Linked DNA regions of Alligator mississippiensis. The protein of the gene in region 1 binds, or shares a complex with, the protein of each later gene. Links are inferred from orthologs where the notes say so. Each region holds a gene or a part of one and is shown on either strand. Other genes may lie near its edges.

Region 1 (7,881 bases):
TGGACATCTTTATTTGTTACACTTTTAACTTCAGAATCATGGAAAGTCGGGAAGATTCCAGCTAAAAGGAGTTTTGTATATTTTAAAATTGGGGGCTTTTTGTAACAGTGTTTAGAATATTCTCACTGTGCAACTTTGCAGTACCTCTGACAGAGATGTTTTTTCACCATGATGTACATATGAGGTCAATTGACAGATCTCACAATTTACACAGGCCACAACTTTAGAAAATTTTAACAGTGCTGCATTCCAGTATCTCATGAAGGAGTGTCAAGCATCACACTAGATTTTGTCAAAAGTAGGACAAGGTTTCCTTTAGTTCTGATACCTGAACTACCATACTGCTGGAGAACGGAAATACAGCTCCTCTCACAAATATATGATTTCTCTTTGCATAAATTTAATTATACTCCACATATTATATCACATGGTAAGATAAAGGGACATCCTTTGACCCTAGCTGACTTCCTGCCCCTGGGGCAGGGGGCTGGACTTGATGATCTTCCAAAGTCCCTTCCAGCCCTAATGTCTATGAAATCTATAATGCGAGACCTGAGGGCACTCTTTATCTGAAGCTTGTCTAACATCTGACTCAACTATACAGTTAGCTTCTCTAATAGAAGATATAACATGACTCCCCATATGTGATTGCCTCATCCTTTTTAAATCAAAATCTTCCAGTCTTTGGACCAGCAGGAAGGCTTCTGTGAGCCATTAGTTGTCCATAGACCATAACTGAAAAACCACTAATTTAGTATAGTGGTGACCAAACTTGTGGCTGCATAAGTGGTGCAGGGTTGGTCCACTGGCCAGATCTAGTCCATGAGCCCACAGTTGGTGCTCAATCCAGTGCGCAGTCCCAGCACTACACACTGGATTAGGCCTCTGCTGCAGCCCTGTATCCAGGACTATGCTAAGAGGCCCACAGTGTTTGGAAATTTGGCAGTGGGGGAGTGGTGGCAGCATGAATTGCTACTGAGCAGCCAAATTTCAGGATCACTGGTTTAGTACATTTCTCTCTAATTTCTTCTGAAAACACTTGTGTGCCCTAGCAATACTTCTGGCTGGACGTTGGGGCTGGGGGAGGGCGCACACAAGGCGGAGGCAGATCCAGCCTTATGGCCACATACAACAGCACCCCGTGCCACCACCACCTCCAAGGAGGTGGCGGCAGCGTGGGGTGCTGGCGACACAGTCCTGGTCTCACCCCCCACTCTGGTGCATAGGGCCAGATGCAGGGTGGGGGGAGCATGGGGCCAGAAGCAGAGCGATGGCACTGAGGGGTGCTGAGTGGCGGAGCTCCGTCCTTGTCCGTCCCCCGCCCCCATCAGTCACGATGGGCAACGGTGGGGATGGACTAGGCGGCAGTGCGGTACGGTGGGTGTCAGTGCTCTGTTCCTGCCCCCCCTCCCTGTCATTCTTGATGGGCAATTGGCTAGTAATTCATACCACTGTTATAGTTCATGATCATATTAATGTAGAATTCATGGTCTTTATATCATTCACGATACCCATATAATTTATAGTGAAAGATAATATTTTGTTATAATAATTAATTATATTATTTTTGGCCCAATGCAGTACTGTTTTCCTATAACTTTGTGCAGTAGAATGTACAATCTTTTTGAGTTAGTGTACAATACCTTCCTACATATTAAAGAGTTAATTCTGAAGAGTAGTGATAATTTCAATGTCAACACTGCTACTTATTTCACTTTTGAGCAGCTGAGCAGAGATCTGGGATTGATCAAGGACTATTTTCAGTATATTCTTCCTCTCCAGTATGATTCCCTAAAGAAAGCGATCTACCTTTCAGTCAGAAAGTGGTTTTCTTTCTGTTTTGCGAAGATCTGTGCAAGGAAATGTTGAAACTTACTGGTGGGGTGGGAGTAGGGAAGTGTGCCCTGCTCATGCTGTTTACCTGCCAACCATCACATCAGCATTAATATCATTAATATTTTTTAATACACATACAGACAAAATCAGAATAAAACAAAAAGAAAGGATTACTGCCACATGACATGTCCTTTAATGACAATGATTATTTTTTCTATAAACATTTGCTGAAACAGACTTTTTTCCCCTAGGAAATCTACAAAATAACAATTCTAACAGAGTCTTTATTTAGTCTAGTTCCTAAAATTCTATTTAGATGTCATTTTCACTGTTCTGTCATTGAATTTACGAGAGAAAATAAATATGTGAAAGCAATTTGGAGAAGTAACTTTACTGTTATGAGAATGTCAGTTACCTTTTGTTTCTGTTCATGTCCTTTTTTGTTCTTTCAGAGTAAAAGTCATTTTTCAGTATTTTGCAATTGTTTTCTTATGCCATGTCTACTTATTCATTTATTAAAGTAAATACATATGCATATATAATGACCTCCCCACCCCTTCTGTGTTCATGCATGTGCCTACGAAAGGGGAAAACCTTCCCTTTTCTTTTTTGTATTTTTTCAAAACTGCCTGTCCACATCAGTTGAAAAGGGATAGTGGATAGTCTAATCTCACTAGTGCCCCTCTGGCTGCTTGGCTGCTGATTTCCAGGCATATACTAGCACTACAGATAAGCCAGCAACTAACTTGTTGATTCACATTCATGTTATGCTACATATTTGTAATGTCACTCTTCTAATTTCTCCCTGATTGAATGACAGCTAATTGATTCTCTGCTTTCTGTATAATTCAATAATTGATTTTCAGATGAAACTAGAAGCAATTTTTCCACTGACATTTAAGGAGTAGACACCCATCCCAGAAGCTACAAGAGCACTGGAGTACTCATGCAGACAGCCACATTCATGAGGTATGTTTATATACGTTTCAAACCTCCTGACAAGAAAATAATGTGATTAACAAAAGAACATTTCATTGTTAATAACAGTACATCTGTTTCCTAGGACATACCTGCAGCCAGAGAAAGAGGAAACAGCAGCAAAAAGTAGAGAAGCAAAACTCTGTAGTGACAGGAAACCATGATGAAATCTAAATGCCGGTGTCCCAATAACTTGTTGACACTCCAGGAAGAACAGTGCAGCCAAAGATCTCTATTTTCAATGCTTTGACCTAGAGGAAGGGGTGGAGAATCACTACACAGAGAAAAATGAAACCTTTTACAAGGGGAAATGTTGCGATTCCTGAACACATTTTTGTGAACAAGCAAAGATGACCACTGTGAAGAACTCCTACTCGTATTGCGCAAAGACCAGGTTGAATACTATGAACTTTACAATGCATTTTTATTAGTTACCTAACATTCCTAAACGTGGAATACTAGTGTCAATAAATGGCTTCAATTTGAATAACATTGTATTATGTGCATAGCCACTCAAGCTATGCACAAAATAGCTTTAGTTGGCAGAATTCCAAGCTTCAGGCTTATTGGAGTCAATGGGATTGCATTGTTGATGCTTAACAATATCAGTTCATACATATTCTTCTACTTCATCACCACTGTAACTCCAAACTACTGCCTGACACTACTATGAGGCACTAATTAACTAACAAAAAGGGTCAAGTCCTGTTTTGCTCTGTTCTTTTTGCAGTTAAGGAGTCATATAATATATATTGGTATTTACAAATATCTTAAGGAATATTGAATAGAAGAGGTGAGTGGAGAAAAAGTGAAATTTCATTAATCTTTTCAGTGGTTTTGCTCAATGTGGTCTAATCCATAGCCAAAGTTTTATCTGGAAAACAAGCATTCCTTTGAATTAATAAGTATCAAAGACTAATAACTTCAGAATAGAGTTTGCAAAGATTTGCTTAAGATATCAGCAATGGTAGGATTGTATTTGTCTTTGGAGACAAGCATTCCATAGCAAGCAGTTCCTTTTATGATTCTACTTTTTTAGGATAAACGAAAGTGGATTCTCTGTGTACGTCAGTGTAATGAAGGGAAAGAGGCAGACAAGGGTCTTTGGGTAAATCTGATATCTTTTATTAGACCAACTAAAATAGTTGGAAAAATTCTTAGCAAGATTTTGGGTACAAACACCCTTTGTCAGGCTGAGGAAATTGCTTCCTTAGCCTGATGAAGGGTGGTTGTGCCTGAAAATTTGCTACAAAGAATTTTTCCAACTATTTGAGTTGGTTTAATAAAAGTTATCAGATTTACCCAAAGACCCTTGTCTGCCTATGTCCTCAGACCAACACGGCTATTACCTACATTCATGAAGGGAATGAGAAATTTTTACTCTGTTGCTAGCTTTCAGCATTATGGTCAGGGATCTTGGTTTTCTTTGATAAAAAAAAAGCGCCAGTTTTGGGATTTAAAAAAGTAACCCAAAAAATGTGGATTGTGGGTTTCTTTTTTAATCCAAAAATTGGGGCCTTTTTTTTCTTTAATCAGAGAAAACCAGGATCCCGGATCATGATTAAGAAGAACAGGATCAAAGAAATCCATGGGTGTTTATACACGTGCTCTGGGAGGTGGTCAGGGAGGGAGGGAAGTGCTTTAATTAGCAAGCTGTGCTAATCAAAAGTGCCCGAGTGCCACATGTATCAGCATCCCCATACTGAAAAAATGGTGGCGGGGTGCTTTGAATTAAAGCTTGCTCAATGAACTTTAGTTCAAAGTGCCCTGCTACCATTTTTCAGTCTGGGGATGCTGATACATGTGACTCTGGAGGCTGCTTGACCATGTTAATTTCCACACTCCAGCAGACTCGATTAATTGGGTCTGCTCTGATGTGCAGGATTTACAGTGCATTGGAGAAGCCTCCTTGCATGTGTGTAAGTGTCCCAAGTTTCCAGCTAGTCTATCTGTGTGCCATTTATGAATATGCTTTAAATTAGCATTTTTGGACAGAATGAAAATTCTGCTTTGAAATCTGGTTACAGTATAGGAACAGTGACCTTTTATTGGACCAACTTCATAGTTGGAAGAGATGTTAGAGCTTTTATTAGTCATAAAGTTATCATAAAAAATTATTGGACACTCATCCAATCCAAGTGATTTAATTTCTGTGACAAACAGCTCATCTTCCTTGCTGACACAATCCTCCTGCTTCTAGTTTCCTATTTCTCTTCTGCCTCATGAATTGGTTAGGAAGAGAGAAAATCTTGGCAGGTAGGCAGAAGAGAAAGTCTAGGAACTGGGGATAGAGTCAGAATAAAGGGACGAGTGTAGGAGGAGGTGCAAGTGTTTGGGGTGTTCTGCAGTACAGCAGGGAGGTCTGTGTTGACTCCTGGGATGGGTTAAGAAGGGTGGGATGGGCCTCCTGTTCAGGGAAAAGAGAGGACAGGAACAACTGGGAGGGAGATACAGCCCCACCAGATTAGGGTAGGAGCAGGAGTAGAAACTAAAATTGTGTTTACTTGTTTGCGACTGTTTCTGTATAGCAGCAAGAACTTATTCAGCTTTTGATGGTTAAGATAAGAACAAGTCTGTCAGATGCAATTGGAAATTTTACCTTTTTATCTTATATTCTGGGAGAACAAAAGCCACCATTATTATCTGAGCAAGCCTCTTTTTGCCATGAAAATAGGGACCACATCTTTGGCAGTGGAAGTGACTGGATTCTGCTACAGTAGGAGATTATTGCTATGGATTCAGTAGAACATGCATGACCCCACATTTAGTCGTGCAGCCAAACCTTAGTAGGACCTGTGCAAAGGAGTGATAGAGGCTTGGATACTGACCTCTCCTTTGTATTTGTAGGAAGAAATTGGCTTTATAAACCACCATTTCCACAAGCGTCTATGTACTAAGACTCCCTGCACATGCTTTCCCACTGTTTGTGTCAACTCTGGAAATAAGGGAGTGAGCATGTTCTGAGGGGTATCCCCAACACCATACCCCAAGTGGGCATTTTCAACACACTCAAGAGCAGTGGCTTGTGGTGCCCCCCCAGGGAACCATCAGTGTCTCATTTCTAAGGAGTGACATACACACAGTGGGAATGAATGGGCTTTCGTTTTGTTTATTCTTATTATTTCTTTGGGCTTATTTCCTTAGCAGCCAACACCTAGAGCAGTGATTCTCACCTAGGGGGATGTGGTACCCTGGAGTACCTTGACATCCTTTCAAGGGTGCTGTGAGGTGCCACACAATATTAGTACAGTTTGGCATGAGAAAATTACAAGATAAATCCAAAGATTTCAGATAGGAATCCATAGTGTTACAAGTGTTCTAACCTACTGTGGTCTTTCTGAGCTCTTTGCAGCAGAAAAGTTGCTCTGTTATTTTTCTGTAACCAACAAATAAGTGAAAACTAAGGGCTGGCATTTTCCATAGGGTGCTTTGAGTCTGAAAAGGTTGGCATGCCTAACAGTGCTGACATTGTATGGCACCCCAAGGCACCCTGGAAAATCACAAGGCACCTCAGGGTGCCCTGGCACTGCCTTAGGCATGTTATTTTTGTAGCACTACAAAAAAAAATAGATAGTTATGCACAGCTCCCTGGCTGGAGTTTGACAGAATCACCACAGAGGCATGTTCTCCTGTCAGGGCATAATAGTGGGGTGCTCCTTACTCTCCCTATGCCTGGAGAGCTTGTCAGTGAACAATAGCTGATGAGCAAGGATCCTGGTTTTCTCCGATTTAAAAAAACAATACCAAATTTTTGGTTTAAAAAAAGTAACCCCAAATCCACATTTTTCCATGATGAAAATGAAACACCACTAATATATAGTTTAATGGCATTTCATTGCTCACGGAAACATGTGGATTTAGGAATACCTTTTTTTTTAACTGGAAATTGGGGATTTTTTTTTTTTAATCAGAGACAATCAGGATCCCTGCTGATGAGGCTGCATGGAAGCTACCTGCAAGGGTAAGGGCTGATTGAACAGTCTTTGCCACCCAGTCAGCTCTTGCCGGGGCTGGCAGTAATGGTTAAAGCAGCCGCACCTTTACAGTCAACAGGAGGTTTTAAGGTGAGAGCTGCAGAAAGAGTGTGTCGCAGACCAAATCAAGAATCCAGCGCCACCCACCCCACATGGAAACACATGTGCAGCAGACTCTGTTGATCTCAGATAGGCCTCATCAGCTATCTTCAGACACACAGATAAGACAATCATGGAAGACAATCATCCATCCGTGACTGCAAGGGATTGCTGAATATGGTTACAGTTTAAAGTTGCTGGTGCTTGAGCTACAGCAGCCCTTTAGCGTGATAATTAGTCTCATAGAGAAGTAGGGCTGGCGGGGATCACCAGAGGTCATCTAATCTAATCCAAACTATACCATCCCATACAAACCATAAGTGAAACTCTACATAAAACTAGTCAACCCTGACACAACACAAACCTAACACCCTAACCTGCTACAGGTAAAGCAAGGGAACCATAGTGGTCATCCTGCTTCTAGAAAATGTTGATTCAATATACACTCAAGAGGTCCTGGGTAGAGGACCACACCCCCCACTGCAGAGAAAGGCAAAAACTCCTGCAATGCACACCAATCTGACCATGGGGTAAAATTCCTTCTTGGCTGCAAACATGGCAATTGGTCTGACCCTGAGCAGAAGGGCAAAATCCACTACCCAGAAATCTCTGGCTTTGGAACCAGCAGGAACATTGGCACAACCCAGTCAAAGTCCCCAGCTTTGGCTGTAGCCAACACTCAATGCCTCTGAGGAAGGCTTAAAAACACCCTAGCACACATAGCAGAAAGGAAGGGGAGGGGGCAACCAGCAGAAGTCCTCAGTTTGCAGGCAGTTCTGTCACCCTTGCTGCTAGGTGACAGGATTGATGCAGTGGCTGATTAGGTGGTAGAGACTGGCTGATTTATCCTTGCTACCCAGGGCAGCTCTCAAGGAGATTCCTGCTGGGCTTCTCCTTGGAGCAAAAGAGGAGTGGAGCAATATGGGATCCTGGAGGGGGCAGGAATGAGGGTTATCTAGATCTGTTTAATCTCTTGAATTTGTTATGGAAAAGT
Region 2 (7,505 bases), on another chromosome or scaffold:
AAAGAAACATGCAGTTTAGAGAAATATATGGCTTTATACCTAAATGTGGACATACATTTTTATATCCAAATTGAAAATAAATTACCATTGAATAGATTCTGACTGACTTTAAAAGATATTCTATAATAAAAAGGCAGAACATCTTCAAAATGTACTCTCAAGTCACTTGTAAGATTACATGGCATGGAAATCTGAAAATGTTTACAGGCAATAACACATTTTCAGATCCTATACCCTAAAATAATAAAGGCTTAAAAAGGCCCTGCTGACAGACATCATGAAGAAATTTCTTATCCTGCAATTATGCTTGTCTTCACTAGATGGTATAAGCAACATTAAAAATCCATTCATCATCATCAATAACAGGAGTAAGAACTTCTTTATATTAAATAAACAATTGACTGAAAGAAAACAAAGCAGTTTTGTCACACTAAGTCAGAAGGAAAATTGTACTCATGTAACTTATGAAATTAAAGTGCAAAGGACTCAAAACTGTTTGCACTTCTCATTTGGGATGGATGGAGGGATAGAGGTAATAGTTGTGTCAGTATCAAAAATAGGCTGTTAGGGGTTGAGAGCAAGGTACAGTACTTTTGCTACTAGTGAATGCATCCACATGGGTGTACTACTGCGCCTGTGGAAGTCTACAGTACTTCCATTTACAGATCTCATCATACAGCTATTTTTTCACTAAAAAAAAAAAGTGAAGTAATTAATACCAGTCTGTTCACATTGCCTCCAAGTACATTTAAGTAATTTTTGTAACATTATTTAATTGTTCTCTCCAAAAGATCATTTCTATTCATATAAGACGCTTAGTACTAAAATAGTACAACTTGCAAATTAACTAGCTTTTGTTAGACTCTGCTCAAACTAAACCAGAAAAAAAAGTGAATCAGACTCCTTCTTAAGATATAACTATTTGCGTGATTAAGACTAGCAAAGTTTGGTCCTGTATGATTCATGTTATATTACATGCACATAGAATTCCCTAAAGGCCCAATCAACATCAAATGGACTCAGCACCAAATTTTAAAAGGTAAAAGGTACAAACAGATATTTAGGGTTTTCTGAAAACCAACTTGGCTAACTTACTGAACAGTAGGTGTCTAAAGAGGCAGCTAGGAACACAAATACCTTTGGAAGTATGGCCCTAATTAGGCAGAATGCTGACCTCTATGGTCCTGATCCTGCGCGGTGATTTGCACTAGTCGACTACTATGCCACACTATAGGCAACCATTTGATTTAACTAAGTGGACCTCTCTTGATGGGAATTACATGGATCATACTACATGATATGGAAGCCTGTGTCTATCAGCATTTGCAGGATTGCACCGTTTGGCTGCGTTATGGAGTTCTGTTTAAACGTTTGCCTTCAAAATGCTGTCATGGATTGGGCAAAGTCATTCAATTGCCCCAGACTCACACTGACAAGGTCAGGTCACTGAATTATTGCTTAGGTATTTTTCTCATTGCTCATTATATTGAGCCCTCAGTTACAGGCACTGAACCTGCCAGAAATTGTTACAGTAATATAAGTGGCACCACGCTGTAGACAGAGCAATAATGCAGTTTCTCTTTGGGACATGTTTAATCATCATTTCCTAAGCTAATTCACAGAAGTTTTAATATTCTACAGATATTGAGGTGGAACATTGTAACAATCAAAAAAAATGTTAGGCACTTCTGCAAGCTTGGGTTTTATTCATCCGGTATGTGACATTTGTTTTATAAACCATGAAGGAGACAAAGGAAGGCTAGACAGATTTAGATGAACAGAGGCGATTTGAATGTTACCCAACAGGACTAATTATTACCAGTACTTTTAATGAGTTGCTGATTAATACAAAAATCCATTTGCAAAATGCTAGAACTCTCTCCAAGTTACTTTTATAAGTTTATACAGAAGCTTATGTATAAACTTAAAAAGAGGGTCAATATGCATTGGCACAAACACATTTCCAATTATTTCTACTTACCCAAATATTTCTACGGTGTAAGCATAGTTGGTCGGCTCTGGCAGCCACTTTAGTAGTGTTTTAAAATTGATTGATGTCCAAGTTATATTAACTGCTGTTGGCACTTCTGAGTTACCTTTAAAAAGAGAGAAGAGAAAATGGGCTCAGTGACATTGGGTAAAGCTGACAGCGTATTTAGATTCAAAAGACAGGACAAATCCATGGGGGCATCAGCAGCTACTGAGAGCAGGAGTGAGGGACACAGCCTCCGAATCAGAACTTCCTAGACATTAGACGCTGCAAGCTACAAGGGAGAGAAACAGTGCAAAAACCCAGGTCATACCCAGTTCCCTCCTCCCCAGCACCTGTACTCTGCCCTTGCACCACACAGGACCCAGGCAATGGCAGCTCGGCTCGGTGGCCAGCAGGCAGCCAGGCGCCCCGGAGGGACTCGAGGCCCTCTCGGGAAGACACCAGCTCTTGGTTTTCACTCTTGTTTTGCGCGCAGGAAGACAGACAGCAATTTTCCTGTTGCAAAACACTCCAAAAGACCACAGCCCTGGACTCGAATGTGAAGTCTCTTGGGGGCATCCTGTGCATCCTATTCGCCAGGCGGACCGTGCCGGGCTCTCACAGCGCCCGGGGGCACCCCGCCGGCCTCGCAACGCAGCTTGACAGTCCCTGGTCCAACCGAGGGGCTCAGCAGGTGCGACCCTGGGGAGCTGACGGGCAGGTGGAAGAAAACCGGGGCGCTGTCTCCTGCTCGAGCCGTAGCCCCGGTCCGCCACGCATCCCCCAGCCCCTCCGCCGCGGCAGCCTCGCCCCGAGGCTCAGGTGCCGCCGCCGCCGCCGCCGCCGCCGCGCGGGCACTCACCGGAGCCGGGCGCCGCCAGCGCCAGCAGCGCGCCCAGGAGCAGGGTCCGTCCGGGCACCATCCCGCGGAGCGGAGAGCAGAGCAGAGCAGAGCAGAGCATGTGTGCGGTGCCGCTAGGCGCCCGCCCTTATAGCCGCCGGGGGAAAGTCCGCGGGCAGACTGGGCGGCGCAAGGTGACTCACGCGCCGGGACGAGCCGGTCTTACCCCAGGTGCTCGGGCGGGCTGGGCTGGGCGCGGGGCGCTGCAGGGCGGCGGGAGAGCAAGCGCCTGGCTCTGCCCTGCCCCGGCTGCGGGGAGCGGCCGCCCCCCGGGATGCTCGCTCCGCGAGGGCCCGCGGCCGCTGCCTCCCTCCCTCCCTCCCGCAGCTCTTCTCCTGGGGCTGGTGATGTCTCTGGTGGGACCAGCTGCGGAGGAGGATAGAGGCGCTTTGGGGCTGCCACGCCTCCAGGACTGCCCTGGAGTCTCCAGGAGTTAGAGATCATCTCCAGGAGACTGCTGAGAGTCACCGGGGAAATACGTGATAGCGCATCCGTTCAACCCAATATTAAATGTTGAATCCAATGTATACGGGAGGTTTTTAAAAAGTAATAGTCATGTACATTTGCCTTCCCGAGCACGGAATAGTCAGTCATTAATGTCATTTACATCATGTGACGGACCCTAGGCGCAGAGTGAGTGTCCTTTGTTAGGGCCTGGGAAAGGCGCTTGGTGTCCAGACTGTTGTCTCTTCCCATACGTTTGCTCCAATAAAGGGATGGCCAGGAAGTTGTTCCTCCTTGCATGTTTCCTGGCCCCTAGTGGCTGCAACTCTCTGCTTGAAGTTCTCTCAAGTATTTCAGGGTTTCTACTCCAGGTTAGTAGGGACTTGTAATGACTTTTATTCAAGTAACCGAGACAAGTAGTTTGCACAAAATCACACAGGAGGTTCTGCTTGCTGCTGAACTCAGGCCTTCTCTGTCCCTAAAGCCTGCTTATCAGACTTCCTGCCTGCATCTACATGTGCAAGGGATACACAAAGCTCTTGGGTCAGAGGCAATATCTATTATTAGACCAACTAAGTACAGTAGTAGCAAAAAAAATATTTCTTTGCAAGCTTTTGGGCACTGACACCCTTCTTCAGGTTGAGGAAAATTGAAAGATTGTAAAAGTCCTCATAGGTAGAAAATAAACTCCAATTTGGACATGGGTAATAGAGGCTGGAAGTGTATTCCCCTGGGCATTTGAGAGTCCTTTTATGAGTCTGTTGCTCTGTGATGTGCAGATTAGGCTGTCTTCATCCCTGAAGGTATCCAATGTCAGAGGCAGCCAGGGAGGTGAAAAAATCCTTCTTTGTTGTTTAATTCAAAACAATAAACTCTGAAGCTTTTTGAGTCAGAGTAAACTACTCCCTGGTGCAGCATCTACATGTGCAAGGGTGGGCGGGGGCTAGCTCCAGGTGGCAGTGTCAGGCAGCGGAGGGGCTGGCTGGGGCACAAGGGTACTGAAAGTGCAGAGCCATGTAGCTAGGCAGGAAGCAAGAGTCTAGCCCCCTGCTGCCTGGGTTGACCAGGCACAATTTATACCTGCAGCCAGCATTGACATGTATATTTAATCACAGATAACTACCCCACTGTAAGATAGTTCTGTCAGTGACAGTACTATCTATTTTTATTCTTTTAACTTTGTATTAAACTCCTATCCTATGTGTGGTTCGATTGTCTCCTGTATTAAATACTTCTGAGTAAAAGATTTTGAGGTTTCCTTTACTGTATATGTGAATTCACTCTTATGCAATGACACTTTTTATACCAAAAATTCATTCATATGCAAGGTAAATTCACTCTTATGTGATTGGTGTGGTGGAAGCCTGCAGTCAGCTGCTTTGTTCAGTGCATTGTGGCACTGATGTGCACCAAAATATAGTCTCCTGTGTGGTTCTGTGCTCCTGGCTCGTCTGTGACATATGTTTCTGTAGTTGCCATCCCCATTATGATAGTGCCCTGTGCTCGTGTGTACCGTCTGCTGTTGGAGAGTACCAAAATTGTTTTGTAAAAGTGGTAGAAATGGGTCTGGGGGTCAGTATAGTCCAGGTCTTGGAACATATCCCTATTTGTTACATTGTAAAGTGTTATGCACCATTTTCCAGGAATGCATCTACAGCATAAAGCTAGGGAAACCTGTACTTTCTTACAAATTCTTCTATCATGGTAGGAATCTGCATAGTATGCTACTTTAGTTAGCGTAGTAATTTCATAATTTCACAGTTGTCATTTTTCCCTGTGTCTAAATATGTGGGCACCTATCACGGCCAAGCTCTGTACTGACTTATAGCCCTGGAAACCTCCACGCCTGGGCAGAATTTGGCATCCTTTGTCTTCTATCAAGCTTGACACAAAAGGTCACCTAGAACTAGGTCTGTTGTATGTGTCCTAGCTTTTTGGACATAGAGAACACATTTTGGTTTCCAACAGAGTTCCTAGTTCCCACAATTCTATCACGTCTGCAAGAGTTAGTGTTTTTACCAAGCTATCAGCATCTGAAGTTAAAGGATTACATGAGAATCTCAGTTTTCAGTTAAAAAGTACATTCCTTACTCTCACACTTTTGAAATGTATAACCTAATGATTCAAAAGGCAAATAATAAGAATCTTATATATACCATTTAAAAATATCTTTCTGTTTTGCACAAATCTCATGACTTTGGGGCCCAATTCATATACAGGCAGTCCTCAGACTTATGCAATTGGTTCCTGAAAACTGTGTCTTAGGTCAAAACATAAGTTGGAACCAATTTTCCCATAGGAACAATGTTATAAAAGGGAGATTGGTTTCTTTATGACACTTGATACAGGTGTGTGCAGCTGGTAAGTCTGTTGTGGTGGGGAGGGTGAGGGAGGGGTCACGGGGAGTCAGATCAACACCCTTGCAGTGAGGGAGGGATTGGGGCTGGGGCTAGGACAGGGGTTGGGGCAAGTGCTGCTCAGTCGGGGCAGGGGATGCAGGGAGGCGGTGGGATGGTTCCTGCTGCTGCATACCGCCGGTCTGCGAGCTGCTCATCTGGCAGCTGATCCGGTGGCTCTCACCGCTGCTCCTGCAGCGAGTCTGGGAGGGCATGGCAGGGGGGTGGGGTGTGTGCCCCTGAATCTGTGTGGGGTGGGTGGGGCTGGGGCTGCATGCTGGGTGGATGGTGGAAGGCACTAGGAGTGGGGGCTATGCCCTGCTGCTGCTCGCCCAGCTGGAATGGGGCAGAGCCATTGCACTGCCTCCGGACAAGTGGTGCAGAGCAACGGGAGCTGCCCTGGCCACCCTGCACCTCCTGGACAAGCAGCAGCTTTGTCCCACAGCTCCCCTCCCCGCCCTGGCTGGGCAAGTGACAGCAGGGCATGGGGGGGCATGTGCTTCTGGATCAGGATGGGGAGGGCAGGGGACCTGGGGCTATGGTGTGGGGGAGTACTGCCCCACCTGCTCTGCCCTGATCCAGACCAATCATACCTAACTACTGACACACAAATAAAAAACTCATACGTTAATGCCAGTAATGATTCGATTTCTTTTTGCAGATGCAGCTTTGTGATTATTTTCTTTGCAGAATTTTGTAACCTTTAAGCTGGGGTGTTGTGATATTTTAGGGTGCTATAGAACATGCATAATTCCATGGTGACACTTTTGGAGTAATTCTAGAATAACCGGAATTGATATTAAAGATTTTTTACCTTTGCTATTTGAACACCGGAAACAGCTAAATTCTCTCCTATAAAGCATAGTCCCCTTGGGAAGGCTGAACTGATACTTCACCTATACAATTTCAGTTTCACATATGTTTCATTCAAAGCTCTTAATTCTGTAACCCTTCCTCTTGTTGAATAGAACTTACTTGTGTGAGTAATCATACTGATAAAGACTGTCTGCATTATCAGTGCTTTGCCAGTAATGGGGATGCAGCTTATACCAGAATCCCTAATGGGGATGCAGCTTATACCAGAAATACTGCTCTCTTCCTGGCATTGTTTATTCCAAACAACCAAGTTATACTGCTAGTATATGGCAGTCAGGACTTCTCTTCCTATCACTAAATTACATAGCTATGCTAGAAGAAATCTGTAGTGCTGGCATGTCTTTACCTACCTGAAAAAAGTTTTCATAAATAAGTCCAAAAGTTTCATTAATCTCTTGTTTTCTAGGAAAGAATTATGCTATATTTGCTGATATTGTGAATATATCTGCAGATATTTACTCTACTTCTTAAACATTATTACCATACCTTAATGATCTACTTTAGTGGGAAATTAATTTATGAATTTGTGGTATGAAATTAGTGCTATAAATTGCAGCATAATCAAATTAAGAATAGTTGAAGAGAAACAATTTCTAACTTGCTTCATACTTATAGAAATATAGTGTGTGGACTTACCCTAAACTCTCTCTCTCAGATCAACTGTTGTCAAATAGCAGTTGAAATATAAAGATAAATGAATGCTACTTAAACACTGCCTATGTCCAATATTACAAATAAAAAATATAAATTTTGGATGGTTAGAAAGGTTTCATGGAAAGCCACTATTACACTAGCACTCAAGACAGAATTACTAAGTAGTTTTGAAATACAAAGAATAAACAAGTCCCAGATTACTTACAGATCAGTTCCTTTCCTGGAGATTCTACAAAATTACCAACAGAAAAAGACAATTCAG

Evidence for each region. The genes of interacting proteins can lie anywhere in the genome.
Region 2: the proteins of F7 (region 1) and F3 are in contact, whole or in part, in a crystal structure (PDB 6R2W), measured with the Homo sapiens proteins. The link is inferred for Alligator mississippiensis from reciprocal best matches to the Homo sapiens genes F7 and F3. Residues at the interface, in NP_000122.1 of Homo sapiens: Leu73, Lys78, Phe91, Arg96, Leu99, Phe100, Ser103, Ser120, Lys122, Gln124, Leu125, Ile129, Cys130, Phe131, Cys132, Leu133, Pro134, Phe136, Glu137, Gly138, Arg139, Lys145, Gln148, Ile150, Val152, Asn153, Glu154; in NP_001984.1 of Homo sapiens: Thr49, Asn50, Lys52, Ile54, Glu56, Trp77, Lys78, Ser79, Lys80, Phe82, Tyr83, Glu88, Asp90, Asp93, Gly141, Gln142, Thr144, Glu162, Arg163, Thr164, Leu165, Arg167, Phe172, Tyr188, Trp190, Lys191, Ser192, Ser194, Ser195, Gly196.

What each region holds. Positions count from the first base shown.
Region 1 is NC_081824.1:351,926,813-351,934,693, forward strand, and holds the start of F7 (coagulation factor VII), read right to left. Parts: upstream 3,038-7,881; 5' UTR 2,977-3,037; coding exon 2,907-2,976; intron 1-2,906. UniProt on the Homo sapiens protein: Initiates the extrinsic pathway of blood coagulation. Serine protease that circulates in the blood in a zymogen form. Factor VII is converted to factor VIIa by factor Xa, factor XIIa, factor IXa, or thrombin by minor proteolysis.
Region 2 is NC_081828.1:34,323,455-34,330,959, forward strand, and holds the start of F3 (tissue factor), read right to left. Parts: upstream 3,034-7,505; 5' UTR 2,935-3,033; coding exon 2,835-2,934; intron 2,097-2,834; coding exon 1,982-2,096; intron 1-1,981. UniProt on the Homo sapiens protein: Initiates blood coagulation by forming a complex with circulating factor VII or VIIa. The [TF:VIIa] complex activates factors IX or X by specific limited proteolysis.